Linked DNA regions of Stegostoma tigrinum. The protein of the gene in region 3 purifies or fractionates together with the protein of the main gene of each other region. This does not show direct contact. Links are inferred from orthologs where the notes say so. Each region holds a gene or a part of one and is shown on either strand. Other genes may lie near its edges.

What was found.
Region 1: the proteins of lin37 (region 3) and e2f4 purify together in Homo sapiens (co-immunoprecipitation; 4 studies listed by BioGRID and IntAct, with this or other methods). This does not show direct contact. The link is inferred for Stegostoma tigrinum from reciprocal best matches to the Homo sapiens genes LIN37 and E2F4.
Region 2: the proteins of lin37 (region 3) and rbl2 purify together in Homo sapiens (affinity purification with western blotting; 5 studies listed by BioGRID and IntAct, with this or other methods). This does not show direct contact. The link is inferred for Stegostoma tigrinum from reciprocal best matches to the Homo sapiens genes LIN37 and RBL2.
Region 4: the proteins of lin37 (region 3) and mybl2b purify together in Homo sapiens (affinity purification with mass spectrometry; 6 studies listed by BioGRID and IntAct, counting the BioPlex papers as one, with this or other methods). This does not show direct contact. The link is inferred for Stegostoma tigrinum from reciprocal best matches to the Homo sapiens genes LIN37 and MYBL2.

What each region holds. Positions count from the first base shown.
Region 1 is NC_081369.1:8,293,749-8,301,716, forward strand, and holds the start of e2f4 (transcription factor E2F4), read left to right. Parts: upstream 1-4,963; 5' UTR 4,964-5,042; coding exon 5,043-5,159; intron 5,160-7,968. UniProt on the Homo sapiens protein: Transcription activator that binds DNA cooperatively with DP proteins through the E2 recognition site, 5'-TTTC[CG]CGC-3' found in the promoter region of a number of genes whose products are involved in cell cycle regulation or in DNA replication.
Region 2 is NC_081369.1:24,613,111-24,620,796, forward strand, and holds the start of rbl2 (retinoblastoma-like protein 2), read right to left. Parts: upstream 3,017-7,686; 5' UTR 2,857-3,016; coding exon 2,716-2,856; intron 1-2,715. UniProt on the Homo sapiens protein: Key regulator of entry into cell division. Directly involved in heterochromatin formation by maintaining overall chromatin structure and, in particular, that of constitutive heterochromatin by stabilizing histone methylation.
Region 3 is NC_081394.1:565,609-572,484, reverse strand, and holds the start of lin37 (protein lin-37 homolog), read right to left. Parts: upstream 3,001-6,876; 5' UTR 2,925-3,000; exon of another isoform or gene 2,803-2,924; intron 2,767-2,802; coding exon of another isoform or gene 2,753-2,766; exon of another isoform or gene 2,735-2,752; intron 1,248-2,734; 5' UTR 1,191-1,247; coding exon 1,136-1,190; intron 937-1,135; exon of another isoform or gene 594-936; coding exon of another isoform or gene 548-593; intron 224-547; coding exon 148-223; intron 1-147. Other genes in the region: proser3 (proline and serine-rich protein 3), read left to right, coding at 3,068-3,129, 5,994-6,096, 6,341-6,651.
Region 4 is NC_081372.1:17,805,023-17,812,847, forward strand, and holds the start of mybl2b (v-myb avian myeloblastosis viral oncogene homolog-like 2b), read left to right. Parts: upstream 1-4,818; 5' UTR 4,819-4,901; intron 4,902-4,907; exon of another isoform or gene 4,908-5,009; 5' UTR 5,010-5,086; coding exon 5,087-5,106; intron 5,107-7,375; coding exon 7,376-7,472; intron 7,473-7,825. UniProt on the Homo sapiens protein: Transcription factor involved in the regulation of cell survival, proliferation, and differentiation. Transactivates the expression of the CLU gene.

The DNA.
Region 1 (7,968 bases), on a different chromosome or scaffold from region 3:
ATAATTACCCTTCTCCCAATTATAAACCTTACCCTGCTGTATGTACCAATCCTTTTCCATGACTATTGTAAAAGTAACAGAGCTATGACCACTACCATCAAAATGCTCTCCTACCAACAGGTCTAACACTTGGCCCGGTTCATTGCCAAGCACCAAATCCAAAGTGGCCTCTCCTCGTGTTGGTCTATCTACATACTGTGTCAGGAATCCTTCCTGAATGCACTGGAGAAAATCTGCTCCATCTGAACTATTACAACTAAAATGTTTCCAATCAATATTTGGAAAATTGAAGTCACCCTTGACCATAACTCTGTGACCTCTACACCTTTCCAGTATCTGCCTCCCAATCCACTCCTCCACTTCTCTGCAACTATTAACGGGTCTGTAAAAAACCCCCAACAAAGTGACTGCTCCTTTCTTGTTCAGGACCTCAGCCCAAACTGACTTTGTAGACCTATCATTCTCGAACTGCCTTTCAGTAGCTGCTGTACTAGCCCTGACTAGCAATGCCACTCCCACACCTCTTTTTCCACCCTTCCTATTTCTTTTAAAGCATCTAAATCCCAAAACGTCCAACAACCATTCCTGTTGCTGAATTACCCAAGTTTTTGTAATGGCCACAACATCGTAGTTCCAAGATGGGTTTGGAGAGTCAGGAGGGTATTTCTTGCCTCAATTGCTGTTGTGGCCTCTATGTTTATAAGGCTGGTCCAGCTTAGTTTCTGGTCAATAAACATCGACCAAACTCCCCCACCTCTCCAGAATGGCAATAGAAGATAATCCAGTGATCATGATACTGTTGAAAATTATGATGGAGTGGTTGGACTCGTTGGTGTTGGAGATGGCTACTACCTTGCACAGTTGTTCTTTTTCCCCATCAAACACTTCCAGGACAGGTACTGTGCAGCGTTGCAAAGCCATCAGAATAGGTTAAGGTCAGCTGGCAGCAAAATGACATGATGAACTTTCCTTCATATCAGTACCCTCAGACAGTGAAGGCCATCAGTTTAATTGGGACAATGTAACCGTAGTAGCCCAAGCCAAACATAGACATGCATGGGAATTCCTAGAGGCACGGTTCTCCACCCATACTTCAATCAACAAACATATAGAGTTGGACCCCATATACAAGCCCATACAGATCAAACCTGGAAATGACAGTACTCACCACAATGGACCGGACAGTATAAATTCCAAGTGGAGTAGAACAACATCACTTCCCCAGAGGCCTCACTGATGATGTCACCAAGCATGATGACGAAACGTCTGAATGAGAACAAGCCAGCTCGGTGAGCAAGTCAATAACCCCACCCACAACCCGAGCTACAGATCTTTGCCAACACTGTAAAGCTCCTCTACTCTTTTAAACTGGAAGTATAGTTCTCTCCACGTTGTCCTCATCAAAAACTCCCAGGTCAAGTTCAACGCAGAGTTTGACAGTGAGTAAAGTTCCTTCAAATCTTTTAAATGGAAAGAAAGCTGAAAATAAAGGTCTTTCTACACTGTCTCCATTAAACTCTCCCAGGATAGGGACAGCATAGGGACTAGCAGCAGAGTAAAGCTTTGTCTACACTGTCCTCATCAAACATTCCAAAGCAAGTACAGCATAGAGTTCAATATAGAGTAAAGCTTACTCTACTTTTTTAAAACAGAAAGTTAATGTCTCTTAACACTGTCTTCATCAAATGCTTCTTGGACAGGCACAGCACATAGTGAGTAATGCTCCATCTACTCTTTTAAACTGAAAGTAAAGCTCTCACCAATTGGACGGTTGTCTGGTTTCTAATTGTTCAGCATACTTTGATGCACGCAGGCACAGACTGCTTCATGTCCATGGAGTTGTGAATGGAATTGATCATTGTGCATCAAACAGTGAACATCCACATTTGAGAGAGAAAGTCATTTTGGGGCCTGATGTTTCTGCTCGCCTTGACCTCTGAGGTGGAAGGTCAGGAAGGAGCTATTAACGGAGCCTTAGAGAATATTTCCAGTGCATCTTGTGCACTTGCTGCCATTGTGCATTGATGATGGAAGGAGTGAATATTGGAGGTGTTAGATGGAGTGCCAATCAAGCGGGCCACTTTATCCTGGATGGTGTTAAGCTTCTTCAGTTTTATTGGAGCTGTTCGCATCCAATCAAGCACAGAGTATTCCATCACACTCCTGACTTGTGCCTTGTAGAGGGAGACAGTATCTGAGATCTGAGTTAGCGGCCACAGAATTCCTAGTCTCTGACCACTTCTTGTTGACATAGCAATTCTACTGTTAGTCAATACATGTGGAGCTGAAGGAACGCAGCAAGTCAGGCAGCATCAGATGAGCAGGAAAGTCGGCATTTTGGGTTTACACCCTTCATCAGGATCTTTCCTGTTCCTCTGATGCTGCCTGACCTGCTGTGTTCCTCCAGCTCCACACTGTATTCGCTCCGACTCCAGCATCTGCAGTTCTTTTTCCATTTCTACAGCTAGTCCAGTTCAGCTTCTCATCAATGGTAACCACAAGGATGTTGGTAGTGGCAGGTTATCGTTGACTTAAGTGTCACTTAATAACATGACAGACAGAAGCTTCCAACAGTTTGCTGAGGTGGTAATTGGCCAGGTAGGATTGTCCTGTGCTTTTGTGCACAGGACAGGCACAGGCAATTTTCCACATTATTGGGACGATGCCAATGTTGTAACTGTACAAGGGCAGCATGTTTAGGAACATAGCAGAGCAAGTCTGTGGTAACATTGCTGGAATATTGTCAAGGTCCATGATCTTCACAGTGTCCAACATCTCCAACTGTACCTTGATACCGCATGGAGTGCACTGACTAAAGCCTGGAATCTGTAATATTCAGGATTTCAGGAGGAGGCTGAGATGGATCATCCACTCAGGTCTTCTGGCTAAACATGGTTGACAGTAATTCTATCTTGTCTTTTGATTTAACGTGGAAGGCACCTCCATCACAGACAATTTGTGGATCCTTCTCTTTTCAGTTGTTTAATTGTCCATGTTGCTCATGACTGCATAGGGTAGGACTGCAACATTTAGCTATGATTCATTGGGTTGTGGGATCCTTAGCTCTCTCTATTGCTGTTTAGCCTGCAAGTTGTCCTGTGTTGTAGTTTGACCAGGTTAACATATCATTTTGAGGTATGCCTGGTACTGGTTCTAGACATGTCCACCTGTACTCCTCATTGAACCAGGTTTGATTATGGAGTTGTTTGGCAATAGTACAGTGGGGGACACACTGGGCCATTAGATAACAGATTCTGGTTAAATACAGTTCAGCTGATGATGATTGATAGCACTTCATTTGCAGTTTTAAGTTGCTAGATCTGTTAATAAGGAGGACTTTTTCGGGACAACAGGGCTGTGGGTATTATTATTGTTTCCGACGCTTGGTCAATGCTTTTGTTTTTATTCCTTTCTTTTAGGCTTTGTAGCAGTTTGATACAATTGAGAGGCTACTATGGCTACAAGCAAAGTTCGAATGGCATTCAGGTCATACTAGTGGCAGATTTTCATTTTTTAAGGCCATTTTAGGACCTGATGGTTTTTGATGACAATTGCTAGTGGTTTCATAATTACTATTAGACTAGTTTTTGATTTAGTCACAGAACTAAAAATTCACCATCTGACATGAGACTTGAACCCACGCTTCACAATGCTTTAACACAGGTCTTTGGATTACCAGTGACGATAGAATGAAGCCACCACCTCCCCAAAACATGACAAATGTGGAATGAAGGTGGTTGGCAGAAGACCTTGGAGGGAGATTGGTGGAGGGGTTTGGGCAGCTGAGCCGAAATCTTCTTTCATTCGGAACATTGTTGTTCAAAAACAAGGAAAAGGAGCAGGAGGAAGACATTTGGCACCACAAGCTTACCCTGCCTTTCAATGAGATCAGGACTGATAAACCTCAGGTCTCAATTCCTATTTCATATCAATATTTCACAGCCTTCAAACTTGGATGTTGAAGATGGCTTCCTAACCCCACCCCAATGTTCCAAACTTTATGGAGGGTATGGGAGGGTTGCAGAAGGAGTGTGGGTTTAAAGGCACTTCCTAAGGCAGGCAGGTTTGTGGTTTCTGGGGAGCATGTTTTTAATACACGGTCCCCGAGGTAGGCAGCAGGAAGTTTTGCATTTCTTGATATTTCAGTGATTTGCAGATGTTCCTTGGGTGGTTTTGTGACATGTGGGCAAAGTGGCAGTTTGCAGATGCTGCCTGAGAGCCACAGTTTGTGCTTTGCTGGAAGTGTGGTGTTTTGATGATACTCCTTCACTGGTACTCCTGTTTGCACTTTGCCGGGAGAGAGGCAATTTGAGAACAGTCCCTTGGTGTGGTCGGTGCTGTTTGCCCACTGCATTTGATGGCAACTGTTTGAGGATGCTCCCTGGCTGGGGCATGCTGTTCGAGCTTTGCGCAGAGGGAGGCAGTTTAGGGGCACTCCCTGGTGGGGGGGCCAGTTTGCTCTTTGCGGGGACGGGTGGGGTTTGAGGACGCTCCCTTGCTGGGATCTGGGACAGTTGACAGCTTGCAGAGAGGGTGGCAGTTTGAGGATGCTCCCTGGATGGGACCTGGAATTGGGGGGGGGGGGGAGGGGGAAAGAGACTGTCTGCGCTTTGCGGAGAGGGTGGAGGTTTGAGGACGGTCCCTGGCCGGGGCTGTCTGCGCTTTGCGGAGAGGGTGGAGGTTTGAGGACGGTCCCTGGCCGGGGCTGTCTGCGCTTTGCGGAGAGGGTGGAGGTTTGAGGACGGTCCCTGGCCGGGGCTGTCTGCGCTTTGCGGAGAGGGTGGAGGTTTGAGGACGGTCCCTGGCCGGGGCTGTCTGCGCTTTGCGGAGAGGGTGGAGGTTTGAGGACGGTCCCTGGCCGGGGCCCGGTTTGAGGTTGTTTGTTGGGGCGGGGGGGGGGGGTGTTGCTGTTTGCTCCCAGTTCAAATCAGTCCCGGCGTGCTGCGCGCTGCTAACGGCTACCGACCGAGAGAGACAGAGAGAAGGATAGAGGGAGGGAGGGAGTGAGTGAGTGAGGAAATAAAGTGAGTGTGTTGGTGAAGATGGCCGAGGCCTTACCGCAGACTCCGAGCAGGCATGAGAAGAGCCTGGGACTCCTCACCACCAAGTTCGTGTCCCTGCTGCAGGAGGCCAAGGACGGGGTGCTCGACCTGAAAGTGGTGAGGGGAGCGGGGGTTTAATCCGGGGGGGGGGGGCGGGTACACGGCCCCTGGGGGTGGGGTTGGATTCACCCCCCCCCCCCGGGGGGGTAAGGAGCACCGAAAGGCCGGCACACACACACACACACACACTCCGCCGGCTCTGGGAGAGGAATGAGGAGCGATTTTTTTTCGGGGGGGGGGTGTTAAAAGGGGAGGGGCAGCTGGACACCGAACAACCCCCCCCCCCCTCCGAAACCGGAGACACCGCGCGGCCTTGGTTGGGGGTCGGGGGGGAGGGGGGTTTGCGGGAGAGCACGTGCTCAACCTCCCGGTGCAGCGCGTCCGCTTCCACCCCCCACCATCATTCACATTGGTATCGTCCTACTCAGCTACCCCACCCCCCTACATTCCCCACTGACCACCCCCCCACTGACCCCTCCCCGCCACATTCCCCACTGACCCCTCCCCTGCCACCTTCCCCACTGACCACCCCCCCACTGACCCCTCCCCGCCACATTCCCCACTGACCACTCCCCTGCCACATTCCCCACTGACCCCTCCCCGCCACCTTCCCCACTGACCACCCCCCCACTGACCCCTCCTCTGCCACCTTCCCCACTGACTGCTCCCCACTGACCACTCCCCTGCCACCTTCCCCACTGACCACACCCCCACTGACCACTCCCCTGCCACCTTCCCCACTGACCACTCCCCTGCCACCTTCCCCACTGACCACCCTCCACTGACCACTCCCCTGCCACCTTCCCCACTGACCACTCCGCTGCCAACTTCCCCACTGACCACTCCCCTGCCACATTCCCTACCGACCACCCCCCACTGACCACTCCGATTCCACATTCCCCACTGATCACCCCGCTGCCACATTCCCTACCGACCGCCCCACCACTGACCATTCCCCACTGATCACCCCCCCACTGACCATTCCGCCTCCCACATTCCCCACTGACCACCCCCTGCCACATTCACCCTGACCACCCCCCCAACTGACCACTCCCTTGCCACAGTCCCCTGCCATATTTCCCACTCACCATTCTCCCTCCCCCACTGACTACACCCCCCACATTCCCCCTGACCACTCCCCTGCCACAGTCCCCACTGATCACCTCCCCAACTGACCACACTCCCCTCACATTCCCCTCTGACCTCCCCCCCCCCATGTTTCCCACTGACCAAGCCGCCCACCTCCTCCACTGACCACCCCTCTCACTGACCACATTCTCCACTGACCACCCCCCCCACATTTCCCTTTGACAACCCCCTGACATTTCCTTCTGACGCCCCCCCACCTCTCCCTCAATGTCACCACCACCACCTCCCAGTTCCCCACCCCCTGCTGTCCCTCAACACCGCCACCCTCCCGGTTCACACTCAGCCACCCCCCTCTGCCTGAGCCCTCCTTCCTTTAACCCCCCCCAACCTCTGAACTTATTTGTTTCCCCCCCAACCTCTGTTCTCCCTCCCCCAACAGCCCTCTGTCCCTCTCTGCCACTGTGTGTGTGCGGGTGTCTCCCCCTCTCTCTCATTATTGGCAGTAAGGGTGAATATTGTCTTTTATATGACATTGTACTAGAGGACCGAGGAGCCCTATCAAGTGTGCAGGTGTCCTATTGCTGAATTCATTGCTGTGGCTACGGGGACCATTCACACTGAGTCACTGTTGAAATTCGCTGGGTAATAACTGTTCCTGCAGTCGCACAGGTAAAGCTTTGTTTTGCAGCACTGTTTGGCAAAGTCCGAGACAATGCTGGAATCTGTTCAACAGCACACATGGTCACTCTGGTTCAGTAGCTAGGTGCATTGTTGAGTGCCACACACAGTTAACCAAAGGTCAGGGGTTTAATCCTGCGCTGAGCCACTGCATCTCAGTTAGGACAGCCCTAAAGTATTTGCTTCAGTCACCGCTCTGGGTGTCCTGTGAGGGAAAGGGATACATGGAAGAGATCTAATTAAGACATGCAATTCTAAAATGCTGCTCACACTGTCGAATAGCTTGCCATCAGTCTGGGCTAACAGATAACAGTTGTTCCCTTGTGTTAACATTGCAGAGGGTGGGTGCGGCTTCAGATTGAGATCTCGGGTGGAGCTCAGGAAAACGGTGGGAGAAGTACCCCATTGGCATCAGAAAGTTCCCATTGCTGCTATCTTGGAGAAGATGTGAACCTATTTAAGTCCTTCTTGATTTAGGCTGCTGCTGGATTCATGATTGATCTTGACCTTTGGCCACTTAGTTAAAGAAACTGTGACTGAGCCAGTCCAGTGCTATCCGTCACCATGTGTCCTCTCCTTGGGCCTGGGTTTTGGTCATGGGTTTGTGGTTTCAGCTGTTCAGTGGTTGGTCAGACCTTCGGTTGCTGCTGTCAGCCTGCCGGCTGCAGCACCTGCCAGTGTGGCACTGTGATACTCGGATCCCGAGGCTTTCCACTACTGACTCTGTCAGCGTCTCGTTGTGCCGTGATTCCTCCCACAGTTCAATAAGCCATCTCATACCGTCCCATTAGAGTGCATGTCACCCAGGTTTTAGGAACAGGTCACTGCAGTATGCGAAAGGATTCTCCACTCTCGGTGAGGGACAAAACGGCAAGGCTACATCGAGGGAGAACATTGCTCGCAGCTAGTCTAGCTGATTGGGGAATTCCCCTGTCAGTCATTCCTGGAGGCTGGGGTGGGTGGAGACTTTGAAGGTTTGGTCCACAGTTTGGAGAATCTGTCAATATATAGCCCCAGTTCCCACCCCCACCTCCCTCTTCCTGCCTGTGTCTCTGGTGTTACAATCATTCTAAAACAAAGCTGTTGTTAGTGACAGCCT
Region 2 (7,686 bases), on a different chromosome or scaffold from region 3:
CTGAATGCATATTTCCCAAAAGTGCCCTAACCAATGTCCTGTCCCACCTATGCTCAATGTGCTGAGCAATAAAGGCAAGCATACCAAACTCCTGCTTCTGTCTACCTGCAACTCTGTTTTCAAGGAACTATCAAGCTGTACTCCAACGTCTCTTTCTGCAGCTGGTAGGCAGGAATTTGTAAATTATGTTGGAATATTTCAGACATTTGTAAATATAGCAAGGGCCTAGATTTCAAGTTATGGGAATAAGGGAAGTGAAAAATATTTTAATGGGAGCAAAATAAAATATTTTCAATCTTTTGCTGATTGCTGTCAGAAAACATGTGTTCAAGCTCAAGCATGTGTTAATTTCAGATAGACAGGCTGACAGAGGAGAAATGGCTGTCAGATGAATCCATGAATAGTGTCAGTGTCAATCACTAAGGAGCAACTTGTCAATACGGGAAAAGGTAGGCAAGAATATAGCCAAAAAATGTTCTGCAGAGATAACGGTTGAGGTGGTAGAAAATCCAGTGCTGTGGCTGACACTGAACAGGTGGTCTTGTGAACATAGGCTACAAAGAAATACGTGTGAGAGAGGTGATGAATTGGGCCGATTGTGTCAAACACAATGGATACATCATGGTGTGCAACATTTATGTTTGCATACCTTAATTAGAAAGGTTGGCATTGTTGACACATCAGAAATCAGGCAGAAAAGAGAGGAAGTGAATTGTCGGAGTGTTGAGCACGATGCTGGGAAATAACAATAATGAGGGATCTTTGACAGGAACGGAGGCACCAATTGTTGGGAATCCCTAATTTTAAAAAAATCTTACGTAGCTGTGTTTTCCATCTACTTTAACGAGGGCCTCATAAATCAGCAAGTTTGGTGTTAGACTCTGGAGATGTTGATTACAAGGATCTCTAGTATACAAACATACAAATCAAGGAACTCGTAGTTCCCTAGGCCATCCAGCCCTTTAAGCCTACTCCACCATTCAATAAGATCATGGCTGACCTCATTTTGACTTCAACTGTTTTTCTGCAAACCCCCAATAATCTTCCAACCCCTTGGAAATTAAGAATCTACCTACCTTAAAAATATTTCAAGGTTCTGCATCAACTGACTTTTGAGGAAGAGAATTCCAAAGTCTCTCAGACCTCAGAGAAAAATGTTTTTCACATCTGTCTTAAATGGTCAACATTTTATTCTTAAACTATGATCACTAATTCTAGATTCTCCCACAAGAGGAAACATCCTTTCCACATCCACCTGGTCAAGTCCCCTCAGGATCTTATATGTTTCAATTAAGTCACCTCTGACCTTTCTAAACTCCAGAGGATGCAAGTTTAGCTTGTCTCAGCCTTCCTCAAAAGACAATTCATTCATTCCAGGTGTGGGTCAAGTCAAACCTTCTCTGAACTGCTTCCAACACGTTGAAATCCGTCTACAAGCACGGTGACCAGTACTGTACACAGTACTCCAAATGTGGTCTCACCAATGCCCTGTATAACTGAAGTACAACCTCTCCATTCTTGCATCCAACTGATCTTTGCAACAAAACATAACTTTTCAACATTTAAAGCACATAAAGGTTACAAAAATATGTTGAGAGAAACACAGAGTCTTTAATGTCAATGTTGTATGAATAATTACAACAGACAATCTAAGAGATAAATCGAAAACATTGTCAAAGGCAAGAATGCAATCACTGACAATCAGAATCATAATCGGAAGGCTGCTGATTGACCTTCCAATACCATGGTTTCAGCATATGACAGAGTGATAGATTCGGACAAGACTGATTTGGATTTGTACATCATTTGACCATTGGGTGAGGCAGAGGTCCTGTCTGAATTTCTACCTAGGCTGCAAAAACAAAAATGTAATTACTGTTTGTGAAACCTGACGTCGCAACAAACAAGTGAACACATTTCAACAGAAACTGATTGGCTGTTAAGTGATTTGAATATCCCAAAAACATGGAGGGCACGATTTTTAAAAAAGTTATTTATTTCAAACTACAGTAAGAGTAAGACACGGGGTCATAGTTAATCTGACAGGATGCTAGGTATCGCAAAATAATTTGTTCGCGGTTAACACTCAGGGCACTCCTAATTGGGGTACTTGGTGCGTAAACAGTGGCATTGATGGAGAAACTGTTGAATGTTTTGGTTGCCTGATTGGCCTTTCTTATCTCCGCATATGTCAAATTCACAGCATACATTGGCGAGACGCTCTTCCGGTGCTTCCTCTTGCAACTGAAGGCTCAGTTGTTTACGTGGACGGTTTGAAACTTTGCTTTTGGCAAGGTGGGCCGGGCAAGGCACTGCTGAACGAGAATGTGCAGGTTTCTCGAACTGGAGCGAGGACCTTAAACTACTTTAAATGGCAGCGCCGAAGGGCAGGCCTGCCCCTGTTCTGCAAGGTTTAGCATCAGCAACAAACCCGCTCAGCCCGTCGTGAAAATTAAAAACAAAACAGGCAAAACATTAACTTTCAAACGAATTGATTGCAATAGCCTGATGTATGTATTCCTTGTACGCTGAATTCCAATGTTTCAAACTAATGTACACGCAATGAATTACCTCTGACCCTTCCCCTCCCCCTCAGCTGTCAGTGGGTACTTATTTACTCGCGGATGTCACCTCGGGTACACGCCCCCTTATAGTCAGGCAGCTTCCACTGTGTCTCTCTCTCTCACCCTCTGCCCCACACCCTGTCATACTCACCTCCAGGGTGTATGTCCTGCTGATGCTCTCGAAACTTGCCCAAGCCTCACATTTTGCACCCTCGTCCATGTTCAATTTCTGACAAAGTTCCTCAAACCTCTGCCAGGTCCGGCAGCCGCCCTGCTCGTCCTCGCTGGCCATGGTGGCTGGTGAGCAGGAATGGCCGGTCGGGTTGTGGGTTAGTGGAAGTGCTGCTGCAGGAGTAGCAGTTGCAGAAATACCGCTGTCGCTGTCCCCGGGAGGGCTCAGGCAGCGCTCGCGGGCCGCACTGTAGCCATTTAAAAGCCGCTTGATTGACAGCCCAACGTCCCGCCCTTGCCACCGTCTGATTGGTCTGCCCAGCTGCCCGTCGGAACGTTCGATTGTTGCCTCCTGATCGTTAAGTGGCCGCGCGGCCACGTCAATCACAGCGCTTCCTGGGTTAGGCCCTGCCTACTCCTTGCCCAGTACCTGGCAAAGCACAGTGCAGGCTTTGGCGGGGGGGGGCTGCTCTTACAGGGTACCAGCTGCCAGCCTAGTACTGGGAAAGAAATCGCAAGGGAGGGGAACATGACCTCCACATCGCAGAGAGCATGCAGAGGAGATTTAATAGAAAGATTTGGAGGGAATCAATAAACACCCATTCTGCTCAACCCCTCCTAAGAAACTTCCTTCATACCCAATATTAAACTAATAAACCTTCCCTGGACTGTCACCAATGCCAGATATCTTTTGTTAGACAAGAGAACCAAACCTGTTCACAGTATTTCAGGTTTAGATTGACAGGTGCCTTGTAAAAATTGTAGCAACCATTTTACACTCCATTCCCTTTGGAATAAAGGCTTGAATTCCATTTGCCTTCCCTATACTCATTGAACTTGGATGCTAACTTTCTGTGATACATACATCAACACTCCTGAATCCCTCTGTGCTGCAACTTTCTGCAATCTTTTCCCATTAAATAACATTTGCATTTCTATTCTTCCTGTCAATGTAAAACCTCTCAAAATTTCCCACATTATATTGTATTTACCAATTCTTTTGCCCGCTTGGTTAACCGGTTTATATCCTCTTGCAGACTGTTTGTGTCATCCTCATCATTTGTGTTCCCTTCTCTTGTGTCATCTGCAAACGTGGTGATATTACGTTCACTTTCTTCATCCAAGTTATTAAAGGTTTGTAAATAATTATGGCCCTAACACAGATCCTTGCATTTTTCCAATAGTTACACATTACCATCCTGAAAAAGACTTTTATCCAAAATCTCAATTTACGATTAGTTACCCAAACCTCCATCCATGCTAATATAGTACCACCAATATCATGACCTCTTATTAAATAGCCTAGTGTGTGGTACCTTTTCAAAAAGGTTTTGGAAATCCAGTAAGTATTTAATCCCCTGATTTTCCTATATCTATTTGGCTTGTTCCCTCTTTAAAAAATTCTAATGAATTTGACAGGGATTTCCCTTTCATGAAGCCATTATAGACTCTGCTTGATTATACTATGTATTTCCAAATGCTCTGCTATTACTTACTTTATAATAGATTCTAATATTTTCCCAATGACAAATGTTAAGCTAACTGGTATATAGTTAGCTTTTTTTTTCTGTCTCTGGTTCATTTCGAATAAGGGTGTGGCCTTTCCAATCTACTGATACTTTTCCCAAATCTGAAGCTAGTTATTGTTAACCATTCCATCTGTAACTTGGTTCTGGCAAAATCACAGCTTCCTTCCAGGGTTTGACACATTTGGTAAATCCAAATTATACAATATGCTGAGATATATTCTTTTGCTTGGGCAGGAACCCAGTTATTTCTTTCAGCTTTGTATCTCCTAGCTGACAGCATGACTACTTGCCCTTCCCCTAAAGTTGAACAGTCAGGTAAATATTTACCAGATGTTTATTTTGGCCCAATTCAAGAATGTACTGCTGACCCCAAGGTGTTTTCTGGATCAAATGAATTGTGGCACAGTTGGTGGAGCTAACAACAGCATCGCTGCTTCCCCAGCAAACCAACCAACCAGATGGACAGGCATCATCTTAAAATATTGTTGTCAGATGAAGCTATTTTAAAACAAGAGCATTGAGCAAATTGACAGAGTGGCAGGTATATCTTGGTACACCTGAAGGTCACAGACCAGCTGAATAATCATGAACTGGACTCATTTCCTTTCCATATATGATGCTGTCTCCAAGGGGATTCTTCTTGTAATGTCACTTATCAATAGCACACTGTTCTCTGGGGAAACCAGTCACATTGTAGAAAACTACATTGTAACAAGGGCCATTGACATCTAGATGTATTCTGCTGCATTTGCAACACTGTTTAGCTTTGCGCTGTAGACCGAGACACATTGCAAATGCCTGCACTAACAACTTCAAAGGATCCAGACGCGTAGCAGCCTAAGACTGTGGGATCTTCAGAAAAAGCCACAAAGCAAATACTTCCTGTGCAGTCACAACAATGTTGTTTCTTTAATTCAGCTACTCCTATTTCTACATGGTGATCAGCTATTGATATTCAGTGGGAAGTGGATAATTGAATATTTCAACATTTGAGAGTTTAAGTCGTTTGGGACAGATGACTGATTCTTCCTAAACGATAATGCTAACATTATATCATGTGGATATTGGAGGCTGACTCACTGATAATGGAAGGAAGAATTAATGACAATTAGATATCACCTAGAACTGCATCCAGTCAATGGTGCTGGTCTTATTTAGGTAATTAATGTGCTGCCCAAAACAATCCAAGAAAGAAGCCATTGCACATGGCACCATAATGTTAACATCTTGTTTATATCCATCCCTGTATCCTCTAGTGGATGACTACTTCTCTGAGGTTATACAATGGCTAGCAGAAACTACTGTAATGCACTCAGGAATTCTGCTGTCTTGCTACACAATCTGCACTAAAATGTGTCTCACCACAAGCAAACCATATTTTCAATCTATTGGCCTTAGCCCAGTTGCTAGCACTCCGGATTTTAAGTCAGAAAGTTGTGGAACAAAGTCTTGTTCTAAGCATTGGGCACAAAAATCAAGTCTGACATTTCAGTGCAGTACTGAAGGAATGTTGCACTAGAGAGTCAGCCTCGAAAAACCACTCAGTATATTCTGAAGCGGAGTACAAGAAATATCACAAAACAGATTATTTAGTCGTTATAAAATTGTGGTTTGTTTGAGTTTGTGGTGCATAAATTGGCTTCTGTGTTTTATTCATTATAACAGCATTTAATTGGGTATAAAGCACTTTACAGAGTCCTGTGGCCATGAATTATGTTGTAGAGATGCATGACTTTCAAAATTAGAAATGATAGTAAAGTTGCCATAGTCCTCAGACTATAGGGCTGCTCTCTCATTCGAGACAAGTGGTGGTGGTTTAACGTGAGGTCACCATGCCTCAGGTGAGGGGAGAAGTTGAGAAGGACAGTCTTTCATGGTAACCTCAGCTAGTGCAGAAATTGAACACATTGTTTAAGTCACTCTGCATAGCAAACCAGCCATGACATCCTTCTGAATGTATCATGTAAATCCAGTTTTCCTAACATGATGTTGAATGACTTGCACTTAAACTGGCATGAAACCATGAAAAATGATGAGGTGATGCCACAATAGCTACCCTGAAGTAAAACATCTTCAAAATATACATCCACTCCTTGCTTTTAAAGATGCAATATTTAATTCTTAATCACAGTAAATTGTCTATCTGTACTTCTAACCTGTATATGGTCTTTTTGCGGTTATTCACAATCTTACTACTTTTGTTTCATCACCAATTTCAACTTACAAATCAGCTGTATATATGAGAAAGAAAATAGAGAAATAATCCCTATGGTACACCACTTCTAGCCTTGAAAGCCACAGCATGGATTTTTGTGGTCAGCAGGAAAGTGACAACATTTGTTGCTGACTTTGATGAATTACCCACTAAGATAGTCATAGAAGTCTGTAGCACAGAAAAAGGCCCTTCAGCCCATTGCTTCTGCACCAGCCAGATCTAACCATCCAAAGTGAATTTCAACTTCCCTGACATTAAGCTTTATTCTGATGTCAGCTATGGTGGTGGTAGGGAAGGGATGATGCCTTTTGTATGGCAGTGATGTCACCAACCAACCTAAACAGTGAATCAAATTCAAGAATTCTCACAGACAGCAAACCCACTAATTATCCTTCAATTTTTAATAGTCTAAAAGAGATCAAAATAAAAATTGAGACATACGCATGGAGTTAGAATAAAAGCTGAAGTGTCAAATGTTAAAAACAATTTAATTAATAAATAATAATGACTCATGGTCTTTAGTTCAAAGGGATTTGAGGGCAGAAATAAAAATCTTGTTACATTGTACAGTACCATATCTAGAATACAGCACAGAGTTTGGTCTCTGTATTTAAGGACTGCTTACATTAGAGGTGTTACAGTGAATGTTCACTAAATTAATCCCTGGGATAAGAGGATGTTCATATGTTGAGAAGCTAAGTGAATTGTGTCTGTATTCTCTAGATTTTAGATGACAGTCGATCTAATTGAAACATACAAGATTCTAGGGGCTCAGTAGAAGATACGGAGAGATTATTTATTTCCTGCAAAATAATGTGTGACATATCGCTGGATAGGCTTCATTTATTGCCATCCCTAACTCTCTTGAGAAGGCAGTGGCACACATTTTTGAACTGCAGCAGTTCCTAGAACAGAGAATGGTACAGTCCAGGAAACGGGCCCTTTGGCACAACACTACCCCCACCCACCCATCATATCTCCAGTTACCACAATGCCAATCTGCCTATATATGGTCCATGTTTTTCTCTTCCCTGACTGTTTATGTGTTTTTCTACATGCCTCCTACCATCCTCCGTGTAAAATACTTGCCTCGTACATCTCTTTTAAACTCCCCCACCCCCGACCTTTAATCTATGACCCTAGTATTTAACATTTCTGCACTGGGAGAAAGACTCAGACTATCCACCTTATGTACACCTCACATCAT
Region 3 (6,876 bases):
CAGATGCTACCAGATCTACTGAACTTTTCCAGCAACTTTGTTTTTGTTCCCGATTTACAGCATCCACAGTTCTTTTGGTTTTTATTTAGAGATCAATGGCAATGTCCAAGTGAATTAGTCCAAATCAAAGGAAAACTAAACACTTACCTCTCAATATCACTCTTCTCAACCAGACACTGGAGGACTGCATCTAAACGATTACGAGCTGTCGAAGCCTCAAGATCTGCAACTCACAGAAACCATGTAAGAGACTAAACTTTGTTACACAAAGGAATAAGTAAACAGGGTACCAAGAGAGTGCAGCGCTGTTGGACGGTCAGCGCTGAGGAAATTTTCCATTGCAACAGAGTCCTCACTTCAAAAAAGGAAGCCTTTCATTAGCTACACAGATTGTCCTGAGCTGGTGACAGTAAGAACAGGGGTCTTTTTATTTCTCTGCCCTCACAAACCTTTCCAAACACTTTCCTGCTGCAGAGCTACTATTTCAGTCCTTGCTCTTGCTCCTAGCCACCGACTAACTCTAGGGGTCTAGAGCTGCCTCCCTTACCTGGCCTGTTCCCCTGTTCTGTCTGTTCTAATGCAGATTTAGCCATCGCTCAGCACCACCACCTGCTGAGTAGAAGCAATGCTGCAGCAGTGAAAAATTCACCACCTCCTCCTTCACAGGAACAGGAGACCAGATTGCCCCTCCTCAAGCCTGCAGCACAGGAACAGCAGAATGCCAGTCAGCCCCCTCCTCGAGCCTGTAGCACAGGAACAGGAGGAGACCAGTCAGCATCCTCCATGCAATTGTCTCAATGAACCAAAAATTGCTGTGCATACCAAGAGAGAGGTCCTGAATTTCCTTCCTCTCATTCTCTCTAACCTCCTCACCGTCTCACGTGGATCGAGCCGGGATTTGGACAGAGTGTCCCTTCTTCTGAACTCTCTGCTCCCCTGCAGAAGAAACAGTTTCACTCTGTCATCCTATTTGAATGTTTAAACCTTATCTTCGGTACTGGAGGGAGACCATACTTGCTGAACTTGAAACACAGAATAAATTCAGGGTGAGGGAGTCATGATGGGGAAGGAAAGGGATAAGGAATGATGAAGAGATAGGAGCCAGCACCGAGAAGGGCAGTTAGTTCAAGCCTACCTGCTTTTTCAGTTTTCACGGTAACTGAAATCATGTTACTGCTGTGGGGCCTCATTCACACGATGGAAATAGGCAAGCAATCGCCACAAAGACCAACAGCACTCAAACAGACCTGTGACAGAGAGAATCAATCCCAACAGCCAGCATTACTGAGTAACAGTGTGAGACAATGGGATTACCATCAACAGAGATACAGTCAGTAACACCGGGCTCTGGGAGGGTGTGTCACTGAGTGTGAGGGAGAGGGATTAACATCAGTATGGATACAGTCAGTAACACAGCATTCTGTGGGAAGAGGGGTTACTGAGTGACTGTGAGGGAGTGGGATGAACAACAGAAGGAATACAGTCAGTTACACAGGGTTCTGGGGGGAAGAGGGGTTACTGAGTGACAGTGTGAGGGAGTGGGATTAACATCAGTAGGGATACAGTCAGTAACACAGGGCGCTGGGGGCGGGGGGAAGAGGGGTTACTGAGTGACAGTGTGAGGGAGAGGGATTAACATCAGTAGGGATACAGTCAGTAACACAGGGCGCTGGGGGGGAGAGGGGTTACTGAGTGACAGTGTGAGGGAGAGGGATTAACATCAGTAGGGATACAGTCAGTAACACAGGGCGCTGGGGGGGAGAGGGGTTACTGAGTGACAGTGTGAGGGAGAGGGATTAACATCAGTAGGGATACAGTCAGTAACACAGGGCGCTGGGGGGGGGGGGAAAGAGGGGTTACTGAGTGACAGTGTGAGGGAGAGGGATTAACATCAGTAGGGATACAGTCAGTAACACAGGGCGCTGGGGGGGAGAGGGGTTACTGAGTGACAGTGTGAGGGAGAGGGATTAACATCAGTAGGGATACAGTCAGTAACACAGGGCGCTGGAGGGGAGAGGGGTTACTGAGTGACAGTGTGAGGGAGAGGGATTAACATCAGTAGGGATACAGTCAGTAACACAGGGCCCTGGGGGGGGGAGAGGGGTTACTGAGTGACAGTGTGAGGGAGAGGGATTAACATCAGTAGGGATACAGCCAGTAACACAGGGTTCTGGGGGTGGAGTGTTGTTAATGAGTGAATCCCCTGACCCCCCAGCTCATCCTCACCTCCCTAACCTGTTCTTCCTCTCACCAATCCCCATCTCAAGTGCCATCTCCACTGCCTACCTCCTAACCTCATCCCCACCCCCTTGACCTGACCATCCTCCCCAGACTGACCTATCCCCTCCCTTCTCCCCACCTACACTCACCTCTGCAGGCTCCATCCCTCCCCCTTTAACTTGTCTGTCTCCTCCACCTATCTTCTCCTCTATCTTCGGTCCACCTCCCCCTCTCTCCCTATGTATTTCAGAACCCTCTCTCCATCTCCCTTTTCTGATGAAGGGTCCAGGCCAGAAATGCCAGCTTTTGCCCTCCTGAGACGCTGCTTGACCTACTGTGTCCATCCAGCCCCACACTTTGTTATCTCACACTCTCCAGCATCTGCACTTCCTATTATCTCGCTCCCAACAGACGTCATGCCCGTCCTCACGCTCTATTGGCTGCCAAACCGTCTGTCAAGCCACTAGTCCCACCTCCTGCCGGCCCCCTATAAGGCCCGCCCCTTGGCGGGGCCGTTAAAGGCGGCGGGAAAATGGAGGATTTGCCGTAGGTTGCTGCTAGTCTTATTCATCGGTTTCCCCCCCCCCCCCGCCTCCGTGGTGGTGATAACGCTGGTAGTTTATTCCCTCCCTTTGACGATAATTATAGTTTTATAGTTTTACATTAATTGTGTTGTCATTTAACACTACCTACGTCAGACTGACCTGAAGCTCCGGCTCCGACGGCCCTCCTTGTTTTTACGTCAATTCTCATCCCATCCTGTCACGCGGTACCGTTCCTGTTTCCTATTGGCTGTAGCCCTGTCCGTCTTGTATCTAGCCCCGCCCTCCACCTGGCGTCCAATGAGATGTGCCCCGCCTCCTCCGTGACCGTTGAAGGCGGCGGGAAAATGGAGGATTCCAAGTGGAGGTGAATCAAAGAGGGTCTGAAGTGTTATACAGCATAGCCCTCGGTTTATAGTATTTAATTAGAGAGAAACAGTTCAAAGTAATTAGCAATTTTCAATGTTACATGATTATTAATGTAGTGACCGCACTATATAATGTACAGATAGAGTGGAGCTGATTCAGAGGTTACCAATCATATATAACGCCATGTGTATAATATTTAATTCGTGTGTAAATTAATCATAGATTATTAGTGTTATATAACGTAATCATCATTCTTAATATAATCACATCACTATAATATAGAGACATTTGGGTTGAAACAGATTCTCAATATTATTATATGCTCATTCTTATATGAATAATATAGCACCATGTATGTGTGTATATATATATGTCTATATATGTATAGGTGTGTGTGTGCGTGTGTATATGTATTTTATATATATATAGGGATATATATATATATATATATATATATACACACTGCACAATTAGAGAGAGAGAGACAGTAGAAGCTGATCAGAGGTTATCAATAATATATAATTAGAGAGAGTAGAAGTTAATCAGAGATTAATAATGTTATGTAACATAATCATGGGTATAAATATAATTGTATGGTATAGGACAGAGTGGGGTTGGATCAGCTTCTCAATAATATTGTATACTCATTCTTGTTCATATCAATAATATAACATCACGTAATACTATACAATTAGAGAGACAGACAGAAGTTAATCAGTCATTGAGTATTGTGTAGCCATCTTCCTTATGTAATGACAACACTATATTGTAGAGACAGTGGAGCTTAATCAGAGGGTAGCAATCATATCATATAACACCATGTATATAATATTTAACTACAAACTGTGACATAGCACAATTAACCAGATATTTTTAATAGTTTATAACCATCACTTAATGTAATTAGACTATTATATACTGTAGAAAAGAGTGGAGGTGAATCAGAGGTTATTAATATTGGGTCAGTTCTCATTGGAGAGAAGGAGGCTACGAAGGGATTTAATAGAGACATACAAGATGATCAGAGGATTAGACAGGGTGGACAGTGAGAGTCTTTTTCCGAGGATGATGACTTCAGCTTATACAAGGGGGCATAGCTACAAATTGAGGGGTGATAGATTTAAGACAGATGTCAGAGGCAGGTTCTTTACTCAGAGAGTGGTAAGGATGTGGAACGCCCTGCCTGCCAATGTAGTTAACTCAGCCACATGAGGGGCATTTAAACAGTCCTTGGATAAGCATATGGATAATGATGGGATAGTGTGGGGGCAGGGGCTTAGATTAGTTCACAGGTCGGCGCAACATCGAGGGCCGAAGGGCCTGTTCTGCGCTGTATTGTTCTATGTTCTCTGTTCTAATATTGTGATCATGTAAGCATTATTCTTCACATAATGAAAGCACTCATCTAGAAATGGAGTGGAGGTGAATCAGAGATTGTCAATAATATATAATCATTCTTAATCATATAATCAATAACATAACACCATGTATATACCATACAGTTAGAGAGAGAGAGATAGCCTAGAAGTTATTCAGAGGTGTAAACAATAGGAAATGCGATTAGTAAGTTTGTAGATGATGCCAAAATTGGAGATGTAGTGGACAGTGAAGAAGGTTACCTCACAGTACAACAGGATCTTGATGAGATAGGCCAGGGAGTGGGAGATGAGTTTAATTTTGACAAATGAGGTGTTGCATTTTGGACAGACAAATCAGAGCAGCACTTATACACTTAATGATAAGGTCCTGGGGAGTGTGCTGAACCAAGAGACCTTGAGGAGCAGGCTCATATTTCCCTGAAGGCGGAGTCGCAGGTAGACAGGTTGGTGGAGAAGGTATTTGGTATGCTTGCCTTTACTCCTTTGAGTAAAGGAGTTGGGAGGGTCAGATTGCGGCTGCACAGGACGTTGGTTAGGGCCACTTTTGGAATGCTGTGTGCAGTTCTGGTCTCCCTGCTATAGGAAAATGTTGTGAAACTTGAGAGGGTTCAGAAAAGATTTACAAGGATGTTGCTACCAGGCTGGGGCTATTTTCCCTGAAGCCTCAGAGGCTTAGGGGGTTACCTTATTGATGTTTATAAAATTCTGAGGGGCATGGATAAGGTGAAAAGGCACTGTCTTGTCACTGGGGTCGGGGAGTCCAAAACTAAATGGCATAGGTTTGAGGTGAGAGAGGAAAGATTGAAAAGGGACTAAAGGAGCAGCTTTTCCAGTCAGAAGGTGGTGCATGTATGGAATAAGCTCCCAAAGAAAGTGGGGGAGGCCGATACAATTACAATATTTAAAAGGCATGATTAGAAAAGGTTAGATGGATATGATCCAAATGCTGGCAAATTGAATTAGATTAATTTAGGATGTCTGGTCAGCATGGACAAATCACACCAAAGGATCTGTTTCCATACTGTACAACTCTGACTCTATGACCAATGAGATAATCTCACAATGTAATACTATGTTTATAAATATATAATCAAAGAGACAGAGTAGAAGTGAGTCAGTGATTATCAATAATATAATCACAAAGTATAACACTGTATAATCTGAGAGTCAGAGTAGGGGTGAATCAGATTATTAATATTAACATATTTAAGACATAATCAGACGGAGATAATCAGGGAGAACTAGTCAGAAACGGACGGTGGGGGAGAGAGAGAGAGAGAGAGAGAGTCAGAGACAACAGACTCAGACACGTGGAGTGACACAGTTTTGGAGTGGTGTGAGAGGGCCATTTCTCTCTCAGTTTCAGGATTGGTATCAGTGATCAGTTTTGGGGTTTCCGTGAACATCACAGTGTTGGTAAATGGTTTTTAAGCTGTCAGTAAAGCCACTGATTCTGATTGTCTTTTTTCCATCTGTCTGACAGCTCTGTGTTTAGTCCAGGAAACCCTTTTGGACAATCTCAGCTCTCCCGCAGTCACTACCACCCATCCTCTCCCCAAAGGATACCTCAGCAGCAGGGCAAAAAGGTGAGACTAGGGTTGGCATTGTTAGGAGCACAGGCCAGGTTGAAGGGGTTAGAATATTGCAAGCTCATCCTTCTGGTTTAATGCTGGCCTTGACTATCAACCAGACTACCGCTCTCTTTGCCAGCCTCAAGTGTAAGAACAGAGACCTGTCTACCTGGGGAAGCACCTGACAACATGCTGCAGAGGAGGGGTACGTACTGAGGAAGTGCCGTGTTTAATGACTCAGTTATGTCTCACCTTCCAGGTAGTGAAACCAGGTCAGTGCCAGCTGCCTAGACCATCGCTTCCAACAGAACCTCCTCTGGCCTCTCAGGATGCTCCGAGACAAACTGACCAGCCGGTGTGCCAGGGTGAAGGGACAGATGCTGGGATAGCTAGCCCCTTGGTGGAGTCTTGGCCATCCACCGAGAGCAGCTCTCTCCTGACGCCTGAAGGAGAGCCAGGAAGCGAGGCAAGGGTAGGGTCCACAGCAGAATCGCAGGAGATGTTCCGTACAGACCAGGGTTGGTCAGGAAGTCCACAGGCTGACCCAGCGGAGAGTTCAATTATCGCAAAGTGAGTGACAACACCACCAACTTCACAGTCAGCCAACCGCTCCTCACTGGCATAATGTGACGAGTCCCAAGATAGAGAGTGGATAGGAGCAAGGATCTGCTCTTTACACTCTCTATCCTCGGACTCGTCAGATGGGCTGGATGGAACCATGCTGTTAGTCGCAATAATTTACACGTTATAGTTTCCAGTTGGCTTTAGCTATGTTAGACAGGTCATCTTTGCTCA
Region 4 (7,825 bases), on a different chromosome or scaffold from region 3:
GTAACATGCTGTTTCCCTCTACTTTTCTGGAATGTAACAATCACAGCCAATGCCCTAACGCTTCATCTAATGAGCTCCAATGACGTACAAAAGCTAAATCAGCAGGAAGCAAGCTGAAGAAATGCACGGAGATGGGAGAGACTGAAATGAAGTCAAATTAAAATTTATATACCATTATGAAGACCAATGCTATTTATTTATTGTGGGCTGTGACTGTCTTCTGGGCCTACAGAATGTCCTCCTTGAAATGCCTGTCAACACTCAGTTTTATCTGCAAGTAGCTACTTGAGTCAAAACATGTCTTAGTAAAATTGGTCTTTTCCCCAGTTTAGAAATTATCCATATCCATTAGAGCTACCATAAATCTAACTAAATTATGGTCACTCTCTCCAAAATGATTCCCCACTAGTGTTTTCCACCCGTCTGGGCTCATTTCCAGACATTACGTCTAGAACATTCCTCTGCCTTGTGGGCTTTCTGGCTTAAAAACAAAATTCTCTCAGACGTAATGTAAGATTTTTATTCCCTCCCTTATCTTGCACAATAATATTTGGTCAGTCAAAATACCATATAATTTACATTTATTATTCCCACATTTAATTTTATGTATTTAATCCTCCTGTCTTCCAGATAGACCTAATATCTGGAAACGAGCCCAGATGGTTGGAAAACACTAGTGGGGAATCATTTTGGAGAGAGTGACCATAATTTAGTTAGATTTATGGTGGCTATAATAGATATGGAGAATTTCTAAACTGGGGAAAGACCAATTTGACTGCTTGAGAGCCTATAGTATGTACCCAACAGTGTATTTGTCTCCTCTGTTTCTTCTATTCTTATGGTGTCTTTTAATGATCCTTCCAAGATATCATCTCTCCTCTTCTATTCCCTTATTTATCTTGCCTAAAAGCCCCATGAACAGGAATGTTGAACTGTCATATATGCTTCCTCAGTCTTCCATACTCACTCAACTGCATTTTAATTTCTAATTCCATCTTCGCTTCTCTCCCTTCAGAACTACTTTTTTGGATACCATCCTCTATAAAAGTATTAGCAAACTTCCCTGCAGGAATGTTGGTCCTGTTCCTGTTCTGATGTTACCCGTCCTACTTCCCCGATTTTAAATGATCCTAGTACCTCAGCAATCTAAAGCCTTCCTTCCTGCACAGTATCTCCATCCATATACTCATCTGTTCTATCTTCCTATTCCACTACTCCCAACTGAGTGGTTCCAGGAATAATTTTGAGAACTACCTTTTTCAAGTCCTCCTTTTCAATTTTCTACCTAAATCAATAAAGTCTGCTTGCACGACTTTGCTTATCATTCTTCCTATGCCCAAAATGGACCATAACCTTGCACAGTTCATCCTCTCCTTTCTGAATACACTGTCGCTTCTCTGTGACATTCTTATCCTGGCACTGCCCTGGAGCCATATTTACAATCACAGAACTTTCTGTCTACTTCTTCCCCTAACTAAACCCCTAACATTAGATCCATTCCACAATTCTTCCTTTCCCAAGCCTGAACATCTGGAACATTCACAGTGCCATAGCTTTGGTTCTGTCTGGCATCCATGGAGGAAGTGTCGCTCTCACTTTGTCCTAAGGCTGAAAATCAGTTTCTAAATGATATGCAATTGGGAATCCTCTCATCTATTGTCTGGTCCCTGTCTTTTGTCCAGCAGTTACTCATACCTTCTCTGTCTGCAGTTCTTTTAAGCTGCAGAGTGACCTTGCCTTAAAATGCGCTGCGCACAAACCCCTTGACTTTGTGAATGCACTGTACTGCCCCCAACTGTTGCTCAAGCTCCAAACCTAGAGCTTGAATTGCTGCAGCTGGAAGTACATCCTGCACATGGTCATGTAGACAATTGTGATTCTCCCATGTACAAATCAATGACTTGATCTCCCCAAACTAAATAGAAATGTAGACTGTTGCATTTATTTTGCCCTTGCTCCTAACAAATATGGACTTTAAAAAAAATTCTTATGTCCAACATAGAACAAGAACACTTTGACAACATTTTTTTGTTTGATGGAGTCATAAATATATACAGCATGGAAACAAACTCTTTGGTCCAACTTTTCCATGCCAAACAGATATCCTAAATTAATCTAGTCCTATTTGCCAGCATTTGGCTCATACCTCTCTAAACCCTTCCCATTCATGTACACATCCAGATGCCTTTTCAGTGTTGTAGCTGTACCAGCCTCCATCACTTCCACTGGCAGTTCATTCCATATGATCACCACACTCTGTGAAAACACTGCCCCTTAGGTCCCTTTTCAAGTCTTTTCCCTCTCACCTTAAACCTATGCCCTCAAGTTTTGGACTCCCCTACCGTGGGAAAAGGACATTCACACTAACCATGTCCCTCATGGTTTTATAAACTTCTATATGCATTCTGACAATCAAGACTATCAATTTAACTGGGACAACGTGACCATCCTAGCTATAGACACACATAGAAATTCCTAGATACCTGGTTCTCAACTCATGATGCAATCAATAAACATGTGGAAATGGACCCTGTCTAAATACCCTTGAAAAAAAAAACAGATGACACAAAACACCTCAACAGACTGGATCATATAAATACTTAGTGGAGTAGAACAACATCGCTTCATCGGAGGCCGTACTGATGATGTTACCTAGCATGGTGATGAAATATCTGAATTATAACCAGTCAGCTCAGTAAGCAAGTCAACAACCTCAAACTTCTATAAGACCACCTCTCTGCCTCCAATGCTCCAGGGAAAATAGCCCCAGCCTATTCAACCTCTACCTTTAGCTCAAACCTTCCAAATTCCAGTAACATCCTTGTAAATCTTTTCTGAGCCCTTTCAAATTTAACAATGTCTTTCCTGTAGTGGGGAGACCAGAACTGAATGCAGTATTCCAAAAGTAGCCTAATCAATGTCCTGTCCAACCACAACATGACCTCCCAACTCCTACACTCAATGCAATAACCAATAAAGGTGAGCATACCAAACACCACCTTCACTTCTGAGGAAGGGTCACTAGGCCCAAAATGTTAACTCTGTTTTTTCCTTCACAGATGTGCCAGGCCTGCTGACTTTTCCCAGCAAATTTGTTTTTGTTGCTGATTTACAGCACCCGCAGTTCTTTCAGTTTTTACTTTCTTCACTATCCAGTCTATTTGTGATTCCACATTCGAGGAACTATGAACCTGCATGCCAAGGTCTCTGTCCACCAACACTCCCCAGGACCCCACCATTAGGTGTATAAGTCCTGCCCTGATTTGCCCTTTCAAAATGCAGCACCTCAAATTTATTTAGATTAAACCCCATCTGCCACTCCTTAGGACAGCAGCCCATTTGATCAAAGTCCCATTGTACACCCAGGTGAGGTGTGATAACTGCTATGTATAAGTTCAACATCACTTTGGATGAGAGAACACAGCCTGTGACATCATAGGAAATTGGTGAGTTAATTAGTTGTTGAGTAACTGCTGTTAGTGATTGCATTACAACTCCAGTAATTTCGAAAAATGTAGGGTAGTGAATCTGTGGAATTCTTTACCACGGAGGGCTATCAAATCTGGGTCAATAACCCAAGGCTGAGAGATTTTCAATCAGTAACAGAATCATGGGTTATGGAGTAAGAAAAGCCAAGAAAGAGGTGCTGAGGATTATCAGATCAGCAATGATCTCAAAGGGCTAAATGACCTACTTCTGCTTTTAGCCTCATGTTCATGTTTTTAAACATATGCCAGGGCAGCTCATCCAAGCAGAATGTATGTCCTGTGACATGTGGACAATCATGACTACTTCTGATCAATTAGATGTGCCCATGCAATGAAGAGTCACTGGCTGCACCAGCTTTAGCTCTAGGTTTTAAGCTTGAACATCAGCTAGAGTCACCTGAGGTACATCCAAGATGCAAAGATCTACTGGATAACATCTTCAGAGAATTGGAGCACAAGTTAGGACATGAGACAGACCGGCAATGTGTGATCACCGGGTGGTCCAAAAGACATAGGCAGGTAGGTCATGTTCACCAACTGGTTTTTCATTCTGGATATTGGTTAGCATGTTGGATCCTTGAAGGAGTGTAGTCAGAGCCTGACTCATGCCATCACAGATGCTGTACAGGAGAGGATGAAGCAGACTGGAAAGGTCGTATTGATAGGGTATTATTAAAGGAACAGCATCTTTCCCATCTGTGCTTTTCCAGCAATTTCTGTTTTTGTTTGTGCAAGAGAAACTCAAGAGGTCTGGCTGTTCACTGGACTCGAAAAGTCGACTGCTTTCTCTTACTAGATGCTGCCAGACCTGTTCAGTTTCTTCTGCAATGTATATGTTTGCTCTTTACAAGCAAGATTTCCTTCTTTTGCATTAGCAGAGGTGCTGGAATGTCTGTTTAGGTGCGCATTGGTGAAACAAGTTGACCCATTTTCAGGAAGGAGCGGTGTAGAAACGGTTCGTTGTTTCGCACATCCCGCCAGATGGAACGTTGGCCCGGGAATGGGACGGACGACTTCGTCAATGATCTCTGGCATTCCGCCAAAAAAACCCCAACTAAACAATCTTAATGTTAAAGTCCAACAGGGAGCAGGGAGATTGGGCTCGCAAAGTAAAAAAAATAGGGCGGTAGTTCTCGTTTCTCTTTTCACAATGAATCTTCACCCCTCCGCACAGATTACAATCAAAGCCCCAATTTGTAAATGGAACGTTAGCCCGCGGGGTAATGGTGCGGAGCGTAGGGAGGGGGCGAGGCACACCGACCTTGGGGGCGTGTCCAGAGGGGAGGCGGGTGATCCAGTGGGCGTGGCCGTAGCCAGTGCGCAAGCGCGACGGCGGCCAGCGAGAGCGGCGCATTTGGCGGGTTTTAAGAAACGGCTTGCTGGAGTAGGAGCGGGAGAGTGTCGGAGACAAAGGTTCGTTAACTTGTGAGGTGCAAGATCTTTGTCGGATGTATGAACGGCGGTTTGGATAGTTTTGTTTCCTCTTTTTGTTTAAAAGAAGAAGGTTATTACTTTTTCTAGTTACCCAGCTTGATGGTGGTCGACTCCCAGGCCATAGTGACCCTGAGGTAGTCCTTGTGGGCCTCTTTCCCCTCCCCATGGCTCAGAAGACTTTATGGTGAGTGACCGACCGATTTGATGATGATTTGTTTTAAAAAGATAGGTAAAGCTCACTTTGATTTCCCTCTCAGCCGTCCCGATGTGTGGGACGCGATATCCTGTCCCCCACCCCCAAGAATAATTAATGCTTGCAACATTCCATGTCTTTGACAAAGTAATGAGAGAGATCGTTTCTGAGCTTCGGTGAATTCATAATGTGCTTGTAAACTTGCATCGGGAGGAAATGGAGAAAACCATATTTCTTTTAATTTGTAGAGGTTTATTGAGATAGAGGATTCTTCAAAACTGGGACAAATTACGTTTAAGTGGGGATTATATTGCATTTACAAACTCTTAAAACGTGTTGGAAATGGCTGGGTATGGAATAAAAGTTGACTTTTGGTTCATTCTGTGCATGTTGAGTTAGCTGGCTGCCATATCTAAAGAAGTGTGCACCTGTAACGAAACCTGCCTTTTAACCTCTTTTTGTCCATTTAAATTAAAAGCGGAAAATTTTTCTAGTGAGTTTCCATTCCAGGTGTTGGCCTCCTTTCACCATAGAAGTTATGGGTTCAAGTCTCAACCTAGAGACTTAAGTATTTATTAAATGCTACTAAATACAGCAGTATTGGATCTTCGCTGGGTGGACCTGAACGATCCTTTGATGTTTTGTGCTAAAAGATTGAAAATCATCACTTTGTACAAAACGGAAATTGCTGAAGAAATTGAATAGCTTTGGCAGAGTCAACGTTTCTTCGTCACTCGCAACGTTGACTCTGTTTTATCCTCACAGATGCTGCTAGACCTGCTTTGTTTCTCCAGCAATTTTTAACTTTTGTTTTCCAGTTTAGGCAACTCTGGTTTTTTTATTTTCATGGTTATGTGACGGTTTGTGAGACCTAGCAATGAGCATATTGGCTGCGTTGTTTCCTATATGTTATCAGTGAACAGATTCAAATGTTTACTGTGAAGAGCGTTTGGACTGCCTGAAGTTCAGAACAGCGCTACACAAATGGTAACTGTAAAACCAAGAAAGTCCAACCATTTTATCTCCTCCTTTAAAAACTTAACAGGGACACAGATGCCTGGAAGTTTTAAGATACTTCATATTGCTGGTTTTTCTAAATAAAAAGAATTAGTGGAAAGATAACAAGACTTTTGCTTATGGTTGTGAACTTGCATCAGCAAGGTTTATAATTATGTTATGTCTTGAAATGATTTAATACATCAGGATATTAGACTGTTTTTAGTTTGTCTTGTTGGCCTTTGATTAAATTGCTAACAAAATAATTGTGTAGAAACGCTTAACAAGTATTGTTTTATAGCAGAAAATAGATTTTTTTTTGAAAAAGCTGCTGTCATCCAGAAAACACTGATCATATTGTACGGATTTTCTTCCCCAAACATATTCTTTTTCAAGTCATAAACTAGTGTTTGACTATAACAGGAGTGTGGTTTTCCTGCTGTTGAATCTTAAAAATTTAGAAGTTGACCCATAGAACATCAAGATATTTTTTGTAAAATCCCTAAAGTGTCGAAGTAGACCATTTGATCTACTGAGTCCACACCAACCCTCTGAAGACCATGTCATACCCTCTAACTAATCCTTGCAACCGAGCATTTCCTATGCCTAATCTGCCTAGACCTGGACACTATGGGCATCTTAGAATGGCCACTTTACCTAACCTGTACATCTTTGGATTGTGGGAGAAACCCATGCAAATATGGGGAGAATGTGCAAACCCCCACATAATGTTGTTTGAGGGTCAAATCAAATCTACGCCCCTGATGCTATTAGGTAGCAGTGCTAACCACTGAGATACCATACTGCCCTTTTTTTTTAATGGGTTTACAATTTGCTACCAGACTAGATTCCATCTGTTCTTGGTCATATATCTGTACTATCTTCAGGGAGCTGTTTTTGCATCAGTTCGTATAGTCTAAATATGTTGACCTCTTCACCTCCCTTCTGAACTTAATTTTAGAGCCTGCTTTATCTCCCCTTGCTGGTCAGGATATTGTATATTTTGAGTATTTCCCTAATAGAAAGAAACGTGACATGTTGGTCCATGTTGAAAACAAGTTTCTATCTTGTAAACTTGGAGAAAGCATAGTATTACACCCGAGTGGACTTCAATATAAATCACGAAAGTTAACAAACTTGATCCTCCTTATTCCACAAATTAAGTTGACTCTGCAGATTGCTGTTTCAACTCTAACTCATATTGAATGCTTGCATGAATCTCTCTACTTCATGATGTGCTTTCTTTTCATAAACGTACATGCAGTGAAGAATTGGATGAACCTTCACAGGATTTGGATTACGATATTCCGGATCACAAAGATGCAAATAAGTTCTTCAAAGTCAAATGGTCTGCGGAAGAGGTATCTGCTTTGAAACCAAATTCGTGTGTGTGTTGTTTTTAAAACAAAATTAGAAATACACCTAAAAAAATCACCCATTGTAAAACTCCAGCGCCTGGTTTCTCAGAATAGAAATGTTTATATCAACTGAAGTGCAATGTGATATGTTTGAAGTTACATTTGAATCTGAAATACAGAGCATTTGCAGAACTGTGGTGCATCTTTCATTGATACGCTTCCAGATAGGATAGAAATTCAACTCATGGATTGATATTATTTAAAACATACAAAAATTCACTCCTAATTTACCATTTTAAAACTTTTCATAGCTTGTCTAGTTAGGAACAAGTATTGTTGCCAAATATTTTAGGGCA